Linked DNA regions of Callithrix jacchus. The protein of the gene in region 1 interacts with the protein of each later gene in a biochemical or structural test. Links are inferred from orthologs where the notes say so. Each region holds a gene or a part of one and is shown in the gene's direction. Other genes may lie near its edges. The genes, in order: DSG1, PKP1 and JUP.

Region 1 (3,644 bases):
TCTTGAACAACCCCATCCCATTTGTTCTCAAGCCCTGCTAAATGCTATCCTGCAGTATTCTTTGATTTTTCACCATTCATTCCCTCTGCCTCTGCTCCAGCTTACCTCTTCCTCAACTTTAGTCTGCTTTGATAAAGAGACCCTCAACTGCTCACCGTCTATAATCACTGCCTCTTCCTGCTAGTCCTACTAACTGTTGTCAGAGTAAGATTTAAAACTGCAATTATATCATGCCCTTCCCACAATCTAAATACTTCAATATTTTCCTACTGCACACAGGTATTTAATATTAGAGCTGAAAAGTTACCTGTATAAAATTCAGTCTACTATTGTCATTTTACAAGTGAGAAAATGAAAGTTCAGAGAATTAAGGAAATACATTGAAGGTTTTCCAACTCTGTCAAGAGTCAGATTTCACTATTTTGCCCTTGCAAATCCAAGAGTGACTTTGTATCAGAATTCCTTCTAGACTCTGAGCAACAGAAAATAAGCTTACACCAACCCACCACATTTTTAAGCAGACTTGGCAGTTTTTAAATTACAAATCCAGTTGAGAGTCTGACAGTATGGTGAAACTCACTTGGTCTTCTGCCTAAGGTTGTCTCTCATGGGAAAAAGAATGACCCAGCTTCATAAAGCTGGAAAGATTTCTTAGTCATCTGCACTGTTTTCCAAAACAAACAGCAAGCACTGATGCGCCAGTGCAGTAAGGGAAGTGCAACAACAGAGAGCAGATGCACACACAATTCTGTAGCTATGAAGAAGTGGCTTTCGAACAGACAAGTAAGGTATGCCCGTCTCTCATCCCACACTCACAAGCAAGAGAGAGGGAAAAAATGTTCATAAATGCACAGGTAGCAAGGAGCATGCATGCATATTAACATCATTTCAGTTCTGCACCCAAGGTGAACTCTACGGATAACATGACCTAAACTCTGGGCCATGTAGTTTTCTTTTTTTCTTTGTGCTGTATTACTGCTGCTGTATATAAATATTACCAATCACAAAGATAATAGATTAAAATCAGAATTTTTTGTGTTCTTAAAGTTGCAATATCAACTCTTTGTAGCATGTTTTACTTAGTAGTAATTTACTTAAGGGAATAGGCTATCTCATATTTTATTGTAAAACTCACAACTCAAGTTCAAATTATTCTGAATTGTATTGAATTGCATTTAGCCATAGATTAATATCCAAAACTCAATTTCCTCATCTGAAAAATGTGATAGTATTAGTGCTGACCATATGTATTTGCTGTGAAGATTAAATGCATAGATTTATACATTACCTAGTACTTAGTTATTATTAAATAAATTAAAATAGTAATAACAATCATAATTATTAATATTAAATATACAATGGACATGTAATTACTATATTAAAACATGACTTTTTTACACTTTCATATTGATCATAAGTATTGATTTTCTGAATTAACTATTGTGGTAATTTTTTTTAAGTAGGTACTTAGAGACATTAATTTTATATTTTATTTGATGATGCGATTAAAATCAACTATAAAAAAACCTTTTTTTGTATTTTTAAATTACTGTTGTTAGTATTCTTAAATGCAAACTATAATTTTTTTATATCAATGATACAAATAAAATTTTTCATACTTTGAAATTCTGAATAAATTCAATTAGAAGTTGAAAATTTCTTATTTAGGGAGAAATACAAATTAAGGATTTATACTATCTTTAATGAATTATAAATAAAACTTAAAACTTAATAAATACAAACTAGCCCCCAGTCCACACTTAATTTTTAGGCATATTTTACAATGTCTTAAACAAGTACATGAATGTATTAAACTCCATATGTAAATGTCTATGGTCTCAGAAAAGCCTATGACTTTTAGGGAAAATAATTCAAATTATCTCAATTTTTTCCTGCAAATCATGCATAAAGATTACAGTGAGAGCTGTAACTAGGCAGCTTGACTAACATACTTGTTTATCTAGGGAAATTGTTTAATACAAGAGAAGAGACTAAGGAAGTTACATTCCCAGCAACTTGTCCCTATACTCCTGCATTTGCCTCTCCTTGCTGTGGAAGGATGCATTTATAATATCTGTTTCATTCAGAGCTAAAGATAAAACATCAACTAGTTCATTTTTACATAAAGGAAAATGTTTTTCTTTTAGAACTTTTTATTTTCATATTTCAAAGCAGGTGAAAAACTTCATCTTAAAATTTGCAAGTATACAAGGAAATCTTTGATCTACAATTAGAGTGAGGGATTACATATTCTGAAGCCTTTATATTGTTCTGCTTCATATCTTTTCTTCCCTACACACACTTTTTTTTTCTGTTTACAACTGTGGCTAGTCAAATCCTGAAACTATACTCGAATGTTTTCAGATTTTGACTTATTTTGTAATATTACTGAACAGCCTTAGAGATCTCAGCTCTTTGGGCACAAGATTTACTAAGACAGCCTGAGCTTCTGACCACATTTTATTTGAGTTCTAGCTTCAAATATTCTACCATGTAATAACAAGTATCTGCATAGCTAAAATAAAAAAATTTTAAATAGAAGTAATAAAAAGAAGAGTAAATCGAACGGTAAAAACAAAAATTCTTAGCATCATCATCAGACCCAAGACACAAACCAAATCTACCTGCTATATAGACTGATAAAATATAATTATTCACAAACCTATGGTTTTATATCTTTATTGAAGTAACTGAATAATATGCATTTTAAAGCATTTAATTAAAAAATAACTAGTGTGATTATCTTATTTCTTATAGGTGGTGGTAGAAGTTAACAGTGAATTCCGAGTCCAGGTAAATATAACAAATCCATTTTTTCCAAATTTTTAAACAGGAATATAATTTGAGAATAACAACATATTTTCTGAAGAAAATTTATTCTTATAAAGTTCACATCATGCTAAAATTAATAGATGACCAAAATTACCACCGTTCCTAATTAAACATCCTCTACTTCAGACATTATATCCTCTTCCAAAAATCTCAGTGGAATTTGGAATACAAATTTAAATTAATATATACCATCTCTTTATTGCTCTCATTCAAGGTAAGAGATTATAACACTAAAAATGGCACCATCAAGTGGCATTCAATCCGAAGGCAGAAACGTGAATGGATCAAGTTCGCGGCGGCCTGTCGTGAAGGTGAAGACAACTCAAAGAGAAACCCAATCGCCAAAGTAAGTATCAACTCCAAAGCATAACAGTGAAAATCAGAATGGATACAGTTTCAAACAGCCTTTTTAATGTTTGATGAACATGTCTCACTGAGAAGCTACCATACAGAACAGAACTGTTGTCATCTACGTGGTGAAAACTGAAACTCCTAAGGACAAATTAAGAAATGCAGGCACTCAGAGAAACAGCAAAACACTGACTCGCCTCACTGTGAAATGCATATACGTGATCATGTGATATCCCAAACTCTAGATGTAAAAACATTATTATTTAAATAAAGAATTTGGCTTTCAGTGCATTCAAAGGAATTACTTCAATGCATGCTCTTTTTCCCTCATGATGTGTTAGAATTGAATTCCTACTTTTTTGTTTATTAACATTTACAAAGTGCCCTCTCTCATACTCCTTTTCTATTCATTTTTCTGTAACTTTCTTTCCATATACACACACACTTAGAAACAACCCCCT
Region 2 (4,227 bases), on another chromosome or scaffold:
TCATTCAGTCTTCTGGATCCTTCCTCAACATAAAATTCCCTAAGAGCACACTAAAAGTGAAGTGTGTGAGCTGTGAGCAGCAGCTACAAATGGCAGCAAGAGTGACAGCTATGATAGGGTCACACAGCCGGTGGAGGCCCCAAAACTAAAGCTGACCAGACTGCACGATCACACAGTTCAGTAATGGATGCCCAGAATGAGAAACCCAGGGCATCAAGAAGTACAGCAAGTGTGTTCAGTATTGTTTGCTTTAGGAGGCAAGACAGAATGTGATGCCTTTTAGAAAGATTTCCATCAAAGTAGATACTTTACAAAACACTCAGCTCCTGTTACACACCGAATTCACTGATGTGGGCTCCCTGCAGGCCTGCAGAGCATGCTACGTGAATGAAGCTTCACTGCTCATGTGTCCCCAGGGGTGTGAGTGTGTACAGGAGAATGCACATAGTGGTCCCAGAATAGTAATAAATCCACAGTGGACTTTTGGGGCAAAGCAGCTTTTCAGTGATTCAGTGAGGATCTGGTTAGGAGCCAAGTTACACTTAATTCACATTAAGTTAGCTAGCACTCGTGTATTCACCTGTTTAAAAATATTTGTTATTGAGTGCCTAGTATTATGCCAGGCATTGTTTTAGAGGCTCTGTGTGGAGTTTCAGAGAGGATCTGCTGTTCACGTGGTGTTTTACCGGGGTATACTCATGAACAAGACATAACCGCCAGTTTTACCAAGGCACACCTACTGTGTGCTCTGTTATCTAAAGTCTGCTCCTTGATATGGGCTTCCTGCCCCTGCCCCTCTTTCTTCAGGGGAAGCTGCTAAGAGTCGCCTGGGTGGTCCCCATAAGATGGAGCACACCTTTGGGGCAAGAGCTATGGTTCTGCCATCAGCCCGGGAGCCTCCACCGACAAGACTGGTCTCTGCCATGACCTCAGTACAGAGGGAGATGGACGCCTGGCTCTTCTGGGCAGCCTGGTCAAGAAACACTCCTTTTTTTCCTAGAGAGAGGTCCCTCTCTGTTCCTGAGCTGAGCACAGGCTTTCTCAATGAGCCAGCAGAACAGGACAGAGGGGCGTCTCCCTGGGGCCTCCAGGCCTGCGACGTTTCTAGCTCATGGAGAGGGGGAAGGGAGAGAAAGAAAGAGCGAGCAGGAAGGCGCCCAGCGTCCCGCACGGAGGCCTCGCAGCCTTGCCCCAAGAGCGCTGGCTCCCAGCGGCAGTGCCCTGCAGCCCCGCGCCTGAGCGGCAGCAGCGCGCAGCCGGGTGGAGTGGGTGGTGCAGGGCAGGGGTGGTATATCCTGTCTGACGGAGGGCGGGCCTCGCCAGTGCCAGAGAGGGACGAGCCAGGGTGGAGGCGCCAGGAGCAGCTGCCGGGAGCCCTCACGCGGACCACTCACTCTATGGCCACAGGGAGCCGCTGAGCGCGAGAAGAGCACGCTCCCGCCCGCCCGCTGCACCGCACCTCACCGCGCTCTCCCCGGCCCCGGCCCGCGCCTCCCGCCTCCTGCCACCATGAACCCCTCGCCGCTCAAGACCGCCTTGGCGTACGAATGCTTCCAGGACCAGGACCACTCCACGCTGGCTTTGCCGTCGGACCAAAAGATGAAAACGGGCACGTCTGGCCGGCAGCGCGTGCAGGAGCAGGTGATGATGACCGTCAGGCGGCAGAAGTCCAAGTCTTCCCAGTCGTCCACCCTGAGCCACTCCAATCGAGGTAAAGGCCCGGCCCCCTTTCCCGAGCGCCCTGGCCCAGCGGCGGGGACCGAGGCGGTGCCAGGAGGTGAGGGGCTGCCGGCACCAGGCAGGGTCTACGCTCCGAGTGCGAGCGCGAGCAGCTGAGCTCCCAGCCTGTTCCACGACCCGAAGCCGGCTCGACGGCTCCACTAGCTCGATGGCGCGCCAGTGGGCCAGAATGGGTGGGTGGTTGGTTCACCGGGACTCGGCCAGGAGAGTCTCCCAGCGTTCCGGAAGCCTGAGGATCCCCCGCGAGCGGTTCTCGTGTTCCTGAGCCCTGCCTGGGTCTAGACAGCTTTCTCTTTCCCACGCCGCTCTGCGGATCCGCGCCGCATCCTGGCCCGTCCCGGCTGTCCTGGGGCCATGGCCTAGCGCTCGCAAACGGTTGTGGGTCACCTTGCACCCTTCCTGGGCTTGGTCTCCCTGTCTCAGCTCACGGCCGATGCCCAGAGCCCAGGCCAAGGGGAACCCCAGTCCCTGTGGGGCCGTGTGTTGCGTGTGTGTGCGCGCCAGAGCGGGGTGAGAGTCGCTGAGACAGGAGTGCAGCTCAGGAGAGGCGCTGCGGGACAGGGAAATAGCACAGGGAGCAGGGACGAGGCCCTGGAACTTCGGGGCACTTAATCCGGAGCCTCCCGGAAGAGGCTAGCCTAGCTGGAAGGCCGCCCCATGGCCAGTGGTTCCACTGACGACAGGGAAGGGGGTTAGGGATGCCTTCTTTCCCCAATAGCCAAGGCAGAAATCCTCTTCCCCACCGGATTCTTCCTACCCCACCCAGCTTCAGTAGAAACAAGTGTCTCATGGGGAGGGCAGGGAATGAGCCTGGCAGGTTGGAAATCCCCCAAGCCCCAGGGAGACCTTCAGCTGAGCCCTCCCAGGCACTTTTCCAAGCTGGATTCCAGGCCTGGCACCCCCTCCTCCAGCCTCTGAGAGGCCAGATCCCATGACGGGGCAGCCTGGGAGAAAGGTGACAGCACCCAGGAAACTCAAGGAGGAAGGGGCAGTACCGGACAGGGGAGAGCTTACAGACCAAATAAACGCTTTCATGCAAAGGATGCCGGGCAAGAATTCCACACAAGTGAGCAAAGCTTCCACTTGTTTGTTTTTTTTATTTTATTTAGCTAAGTTTAGTAAAATGCTGATAAAGACTCTACCCACTGCAAACCAATACATGTCAATCAAGACTTATTTCTCAAGACAGACCTTAAGAGAGAGTGAGGGCAGGGGGTAAAAAGGTGTAAGGGGGCAAAAGAAACCGACCCTGCCCATTCTCCCACCACGCACACACGCACACGACCGCACGCACACACACACACACACACACACACACACACCACTCACACTCTCTACCTCTGGCCCCAGCCCCCATTCCTGGGTGGCCCCGTGTAGAGCCGAGGGAGGGAAAATGGCGGGCAGAGGACTTCCTGGGCCTCAGACCTAAAGGTCTTTGCTGCGCTGTGTGCTCTGCCTTTGTCCGGGCTCCGGGCTCCTCTCCTCACATTTCCACTCAAGGTCATGCCGCCTCCAGAGCACTTGCCTCCTTCCCTTTTATTTGGTTCCTTGGTAGCTGCCTCCTAGCCTCTTTAAAAGTGGGTTTGGAAGAACAAAATGCCCCCATTTCTGGCTACAGCCCAGGGCACAGCTCAAGCCAACCTACTCTCCTCTCTGCACAAGACTTGACTGTCCCCTTCCCACTCCCACTCCATCTCAGCCTGAGCCCTTGGCTCACAGCTCCAGAAAACTCAAGCCGGCCCTGGGTGCCCCAAGGACCCTTTCTTCTTCCCACCTATGTCGATATGGGCTGAGTGTCTATCGGCATGAAGTGCACTTTCTGAGTTTGGTCTTCCTGGGTAATTTCTGTCTGATAAGGTCGCCTTTGTTCCTTCTTTGTTTTTCCCCTGAAGGTCCCCCAGGGGTCTTCAGACAGGGAGGGTTGATGCTGATGGCTACCTCTCCAGAAACTCCAAGGACTGGCCCTATGGGCCTGTTCCCTGTGCCCTCAGCCTCAGGAGGCCCCTAAAGGAGGCTGGTTTCCCCAGAGGCATCCTCACTGGAAGAGGCGGTTTGGGCACTTGGAGCTGGTGTTTCTGGTTTATCTGGCTTAGTTTTCATCAGATTTCTCTGTCCTCTCCATCAGAAACGCCCAAGCGTCCCCTATTTGCTCTGCGGCCACCTCTACTCACTCTGCTCCCTCTTTCTCATGCTGGTTTACCTGTCAGGAGTCTGCCTGGGTTCCTGGAATGGAATGAGCCGGGGGACATGGAAGGACCATGCCCCCAGACAGATTCAAATTCTCCTTTAGTCTCTTCTAAGAGCTGAGAGTTGGTTCACCTAGAGTCTTCTTGAGCCCCTTGAATCCTATCCGAAGTTCCCCTAGTTAAGAAGGGCTGGCCACACCCCACAGGTTGCCTGGAAGAGTAGCCAATGCTTCATGTACCCCGGGAAGGACAGTCAGGACCAGCCATCCTTGGTCCTGGTGATAGAACTGGCTTCTTCTCA
Region 3 (4,385 bases), on another chromosome or scaffold:
TGCTGGGATTACAGGCGTGAGCCAGTGCACCCCGCCTGCCCTGTTTCTTTCATGCTAGGGCTGGATTTCCTTCAGATCTGCAGCTTGATGTTTCCAAGCCCACCAAAGCCTCCTGACACCAATACTGTATTTTTGGGCCAAGCAGTTGTTCTATCTCACCTCCAATTTTTCTATCTTGTCTCTATCTTGTGCCTTTTCTCTGCCCCTTCCCCACTGCCTTGACATTTTATGTCTATGCTCTTCTTCCATGAGGGGAACAGCTGATTTGGTGGTCCTTCAAATGAGAGGAAGGTGGTTCTAGCTTGGGGTGTGTCACTTTGTAGTTTTGTGATTTCTCTGAACCTCGGTTTCTTCATCTTTACGATGAGGATCATTTTCTAGTCCTATTTTTCAGAGCTGTCACGAGAATTAAAAAAGAAAAACGAAAACAAAAAACCCATACCATTAATTTAAATTCTAATCTTTATCAGTTTCTGAGTGCTTCCACAAACCTGACTTCATTTAATCCCCACATACTCCAGTGAGGTAGATATGGCTAATGTACCCAGTTTACAGATGAGGAGAAACAGCGGGAAGGGTGAAGTAACTTGTCTAAGGTCATAGTAAGCGGCAAAACACAAACCCTGGCCTTCTAATTCTGAATCCCAGAAGTACTCCATCTTTGGGGAAAAAAATCCCAACCCAGCACAAAGCCTATGAAATGCCATACAAATATGTTATTACCACTTTGGGGCAAGGATGAATAAGCCCAAAGAAGCATCATGCCTGACGCTGAGTTGGCTGGCTGGTGAAGGCGTCTGTCCCTTCCCTTGGTATCCCCTGACTTACCTGTTGGACAGGTAGGGGGAAGGGGAGAGTAGTGAGTCTCACCTGCTCAGAGCAAGGGTGGGGCAAGACACACCCCATACCTTCCATTGGTTTTTTTCCTTAGTCTTACTGACAGTCCCTTGCCCAATCAGGAGAAAGTAACTTTCTATCTGCCAATTGGTGAAGTGTTAGGATGAGATCTCAAGTTAGAGTCCATCCCTAGAGCCGACTGGCAGTCCCTGGGGCCAATGGCAAGCGGATAAACAGAGGCGGCCGTGGAGAAGGACTGGACGCGAGGCTCCACCCCTTGACGGGACAGTCAGGCGAGACAGCCAGTGAGCTCGCATCAGCGGGTGGGCGTCTCCCCCAGGGGCGGAGTTTCGAGGTGGCGAGGGGCGTGGCTTGGCTGTCAGGTCTCTTCGCCTTTTGTTCGGTTACTGAGTTGCTGCCTTGGCCAGAGTCCGGAGCAGCCGCCGCCCGAGCGCGCCGAGTTCAGTTCGCTGTCCGCGCCGGCTCCCACCCCGGCCCGATTTCTACCCGGCCGGCCAGGCCCCAGACTCAGGTGCGGGCGATCGAGGACAGGTATCGATGGGGAGAGAAGGGGTGGCGAGCGGCCGCGGGGCCGGTCCCAGCAGTCTCTGGGCAGGTGAGGGCGGGTGCCATGGAGCGCCACCCTGCACTGGCAGCAGGGGGCGCGCTGGGGTCCTGGGCGCGGCGACTGGGGGGGCGCGCGGTTCGGGCCGAGCGCGCTTAGGAGCTCCGCGAGCGGGAGATCTGAGCAGGGCGGGAGGGCTCCGGGCAGATGCCTCGGGGGTCGCGCCCCTCCCGGGGCCCGCACAGCTCGCCCGACGCCGCGTCCCTGACTCTCGTCCTGAGCTGGAGGGGGAGACTTTGCCCTGCTTTGACTGCGTCCCAGGGCTCTCGCTGCAGTCAGTAATTTACCGTTTGGGAAACTTGCTGCCGCTGGTCTCTTTGGGGCCACCCTCACCCCACCCCACGCGTCATCCTCGCTTTCCCTCCCTCTCTACTCCCCCAGGCCTGGGTGGGGCCCTATTGTCTGCGCCCAGCTTGCCCAACTGTGGGGGCCGAGCGCACATTTTCCCAGTGACGCTGGCCCCACCTGCCGAGCAGGTGAGCGCACGGAGTCCAGAGGCCCAGCCCTCCAGCTCCCGGAGCCTCGTCGATACTACCTGCGGCGCCTCCCTCCACTCCAGTGGGTGCCCGGCTCTGGCTTCTCCAGCAGAGGTGGGATGGAGTGACAGTGGGGGCTGGTGCACGGCTCGGCCCAGTGTCCAGCTGGTGTTTGGCACCCGTGGCTCGGTCTGGGGGGAGGGGTCTGTGCACGAGTGAAGCATTCAGGGTCACCTGGCCCAGTTTCCAGTAGCTGTGGCTGCCAGAGTGTTGGTAGGGGAACAGGAATCGTCTTCTTTTCTAACCTCTTATTGTTGGAAAAATCACCCAAAACAAACTTTGCAGGAGGAAGTATTCACAGCAGCGTTCTCTGGGGGTTTTCCCGTCTCCTTGCCCAGAACTTCCTTTAGGCTTAGGAGGTCCTTCTTGGTGCAAAGTCCCCTCCCCCAGCCGGCCCCCGGCTGAACCTGGGCCTTTGCCTGCGCTCTGACCCTGGCTTCCCTGCCCCCACATCCATCCTGTTAGCTGCGCCCCAGGGGCCTGAGGTGGGGGCCGGGGTGGGGTGGGTGGAAAGGGCCGAGAGGGGAAGCAGCTTCTTCCTTCTCTTTCTCTTCCTGCCTCCGGGGACCACCACACCCCCTCAGACATGGCCTGCGTGAGTGGCTCTTTCTCAAGCTCTGCCCCCTCCCCAGGAATGGGGGTGGGGCAGGGCTGGGCCAAGCTAGGAAGGTGGGGGGAATGGATGTTCTTGTCTTTTTTTTTTCTCTACCCCATCCCCCACATTACTTAGCTGGCTGGTAATTGAGGCAGAAGAGCATGAGGCTGTGGGGCTTGCCTTCCATTTGATTTCTGAATTATGAAGGTGCATGCTTTCTGGAGGCCTGGGCAGACCTTTCCTATCCCCTTTCCTGAAAGAATTTGACAGGGAAAGTGAGACTGGAGAAAGGCTTTTGGAGGGGAAGGTTTCTTCAATGTTAGACTCCCTCAGGAGAGGTGAATGCCCCCCCCCACCGCCCCCACCTCCTTCCCTACTCCCAATTTCCTGAGACCCCGCCTCCAGAATTGGGGGTCGTCACCAGGCTTTCTACCCTGGTTTTAAAAAGTCCTAAGTGCGGTCATTTTGCAGGATTTGGAGCCCAGCCTTGGGAACAGAGAGGGAATATAAGAGTTGGGTTCTCTCTCAGTCCTGGGGGTGGGAGAAAGATTGCAGAACTGGGGATCGAGAGTGCTTGGAGGGGAAGAGCCTGCCACCTCTTTCTTTGCTGTAGATGGGGGATTGAGGCTGGGGGGCCAGACTCAGCCCCTTTGTCCTGGGTGGGGATCATGCACAGCCCTGGACCAGGGGGAAGCCAGTGTGGGAACTCAGATCCTTTTCTGCTGGGGAAAGGGGTGCTGCCTGCCTCTGGGGAGCAACAGGGCACGGAGTTTGGGCAAAAATAACCTGCTTTCCCTCTTCTCCGTGCCAAGGTGGAGGAGGGGAGGGCATTGTAATTGTGTTGGCTAAATGATTAGTTTAGCTAATCTGGTTTGTGGCTATGATGAAAAGATACTACTGAGGAAGTACTGCTAGGAGATGCCTGGTGAAAACTGGCCACTGACTGGACTGGGGGCGCGGGGGAGGAGGAGAAGATAGGATCCAGTTAGTCATTTCTTGCTAGATGGAGCCCAGCTTGGGTGACTTGAGCCCTCCCGAACCCACTCCACCCCTCCCCTGCACCCTGGCTCCACCCCATTCCCTCTGGAACTTCTGTTTGGAATGCCAGGGCTGAGGCTTTGAGAATTCAGTGCATAGGAACAAGAAAAGACAGGCTAGGGCTGCCAGCCTTTTTCCCTTCCTGGAGCCACTTTAGGATGAGATCGGTCCATTGACTAGTCTACAGAAGGACTGTTTATTTGGAGAGATGGGATGGTGGGGCAGTTCTGAGCACAGGGCTTTGGGCTTGAACTGAGCTGGGTTTGAGACCCACCTCTGTCCCTCATTCCATTACCTGAGCCTCAGTGACCTCTTTGTCAAAATGGGAATACTAATACCTATCTGCCCTGTAAGTACTTGACAAATGGTAACTCAAGATCAAGGTAAGACTTTACAGAAACCAAGCACTTTCATTAGCTAGTCTCACTTCAAACTTAAGGCTGCCCAGGCTCGATGGCTCAAACCTGTAATCCCAGCACTTTAGGAGGCCCAGAGGGGCAGGTTGCTTGAGCCCAGGAGTTCCAGACCAGCCTGGGCAACATGGCAAAACCCTGTCTCTACAAAAAATAGAAAAATTAACTGGGCATGGTGGTGCAAGCCTGTGGTCCCGGCTACTGGGAAGGCTGAGGTGGGAGTATTACCTGAGTCCAGGGAGCTCAAGGCTGCAGTGAGCTGTGTCACCGTACTCCAGCCTGGGCTACAGAGTGAGCCTCTGTCTCAGAAAAAAAGAAGCGGGTATCATTATCCCCATTCT

Evidence for each region.
Region 2: the proteins of DSG1 (region 1) and PKP1 form a complex in vitro, tested with the Homo sapiens proteins (2 studies listed by BioGRID and IntAct). The link is inferred for Callithrix jacchus from reciprocal best matches to the Homo sapiens genes DSG1 and PKP1.
Region 3: the proteins of DSG1 (region 1) and JUP form a complex in vitro, tested with the Homo sapiens proteins (2 studies listed by BioGRID and IntAct). The link is inferred for Callithrix jacchus from reciprocal best matches to the Homo sapiens genes DSG1 and JUP.

The regions. Positions count from the first base shown.
Region 1 is NC_133514.1:74,477,310-74,480,953, forward strand, and holds part of DSG1 (desmoglein-1), read left to right. Parts: intron 1-2,757; coding exon 2,758-2,793; intron 2,794-3,046; coding exon 3,047-3,178; intron 3,179-3,644. UniProt on the Homo sapiens protein: Component of intercellular desmosome junctions. Involved in the interaction of plaque proteins and intermediate filaments mediating cell-cell adhesion.
Region 2 is NC_133520.1:28,295,681-28,299,907, forward strand, and holds the start of PKP1 (plakophilin-1), read left to right. Parts: upstream 1-1,321; 5' UTR 1,322-1,509; coding exon 1,510-1,711; intron 1,712-4,227. UniProt on the Homo sapiens protein: A component of desmosome cell-cell junctions which are required for positive regulation of cellular adhesion.
Region 3 is NC_133506.1:91,455,467-91,459,851, forward strand, and holds the start of JUP (junction plakoglobin), read left to right. Parts: upstream 1-1,539; 5' UTR 1,540-1,609; coding exon 1,610-1,736; exon of another isoform or gene 1,737-2,052; intron 2,053-4,385. UniProt on the Homo sapiens protein: Common junctional plaque protein. The membrane-associated plaques are architectural elements in an important strategic position to influence the arrangement and function of both the cytoskeleton and the cells within the tissue.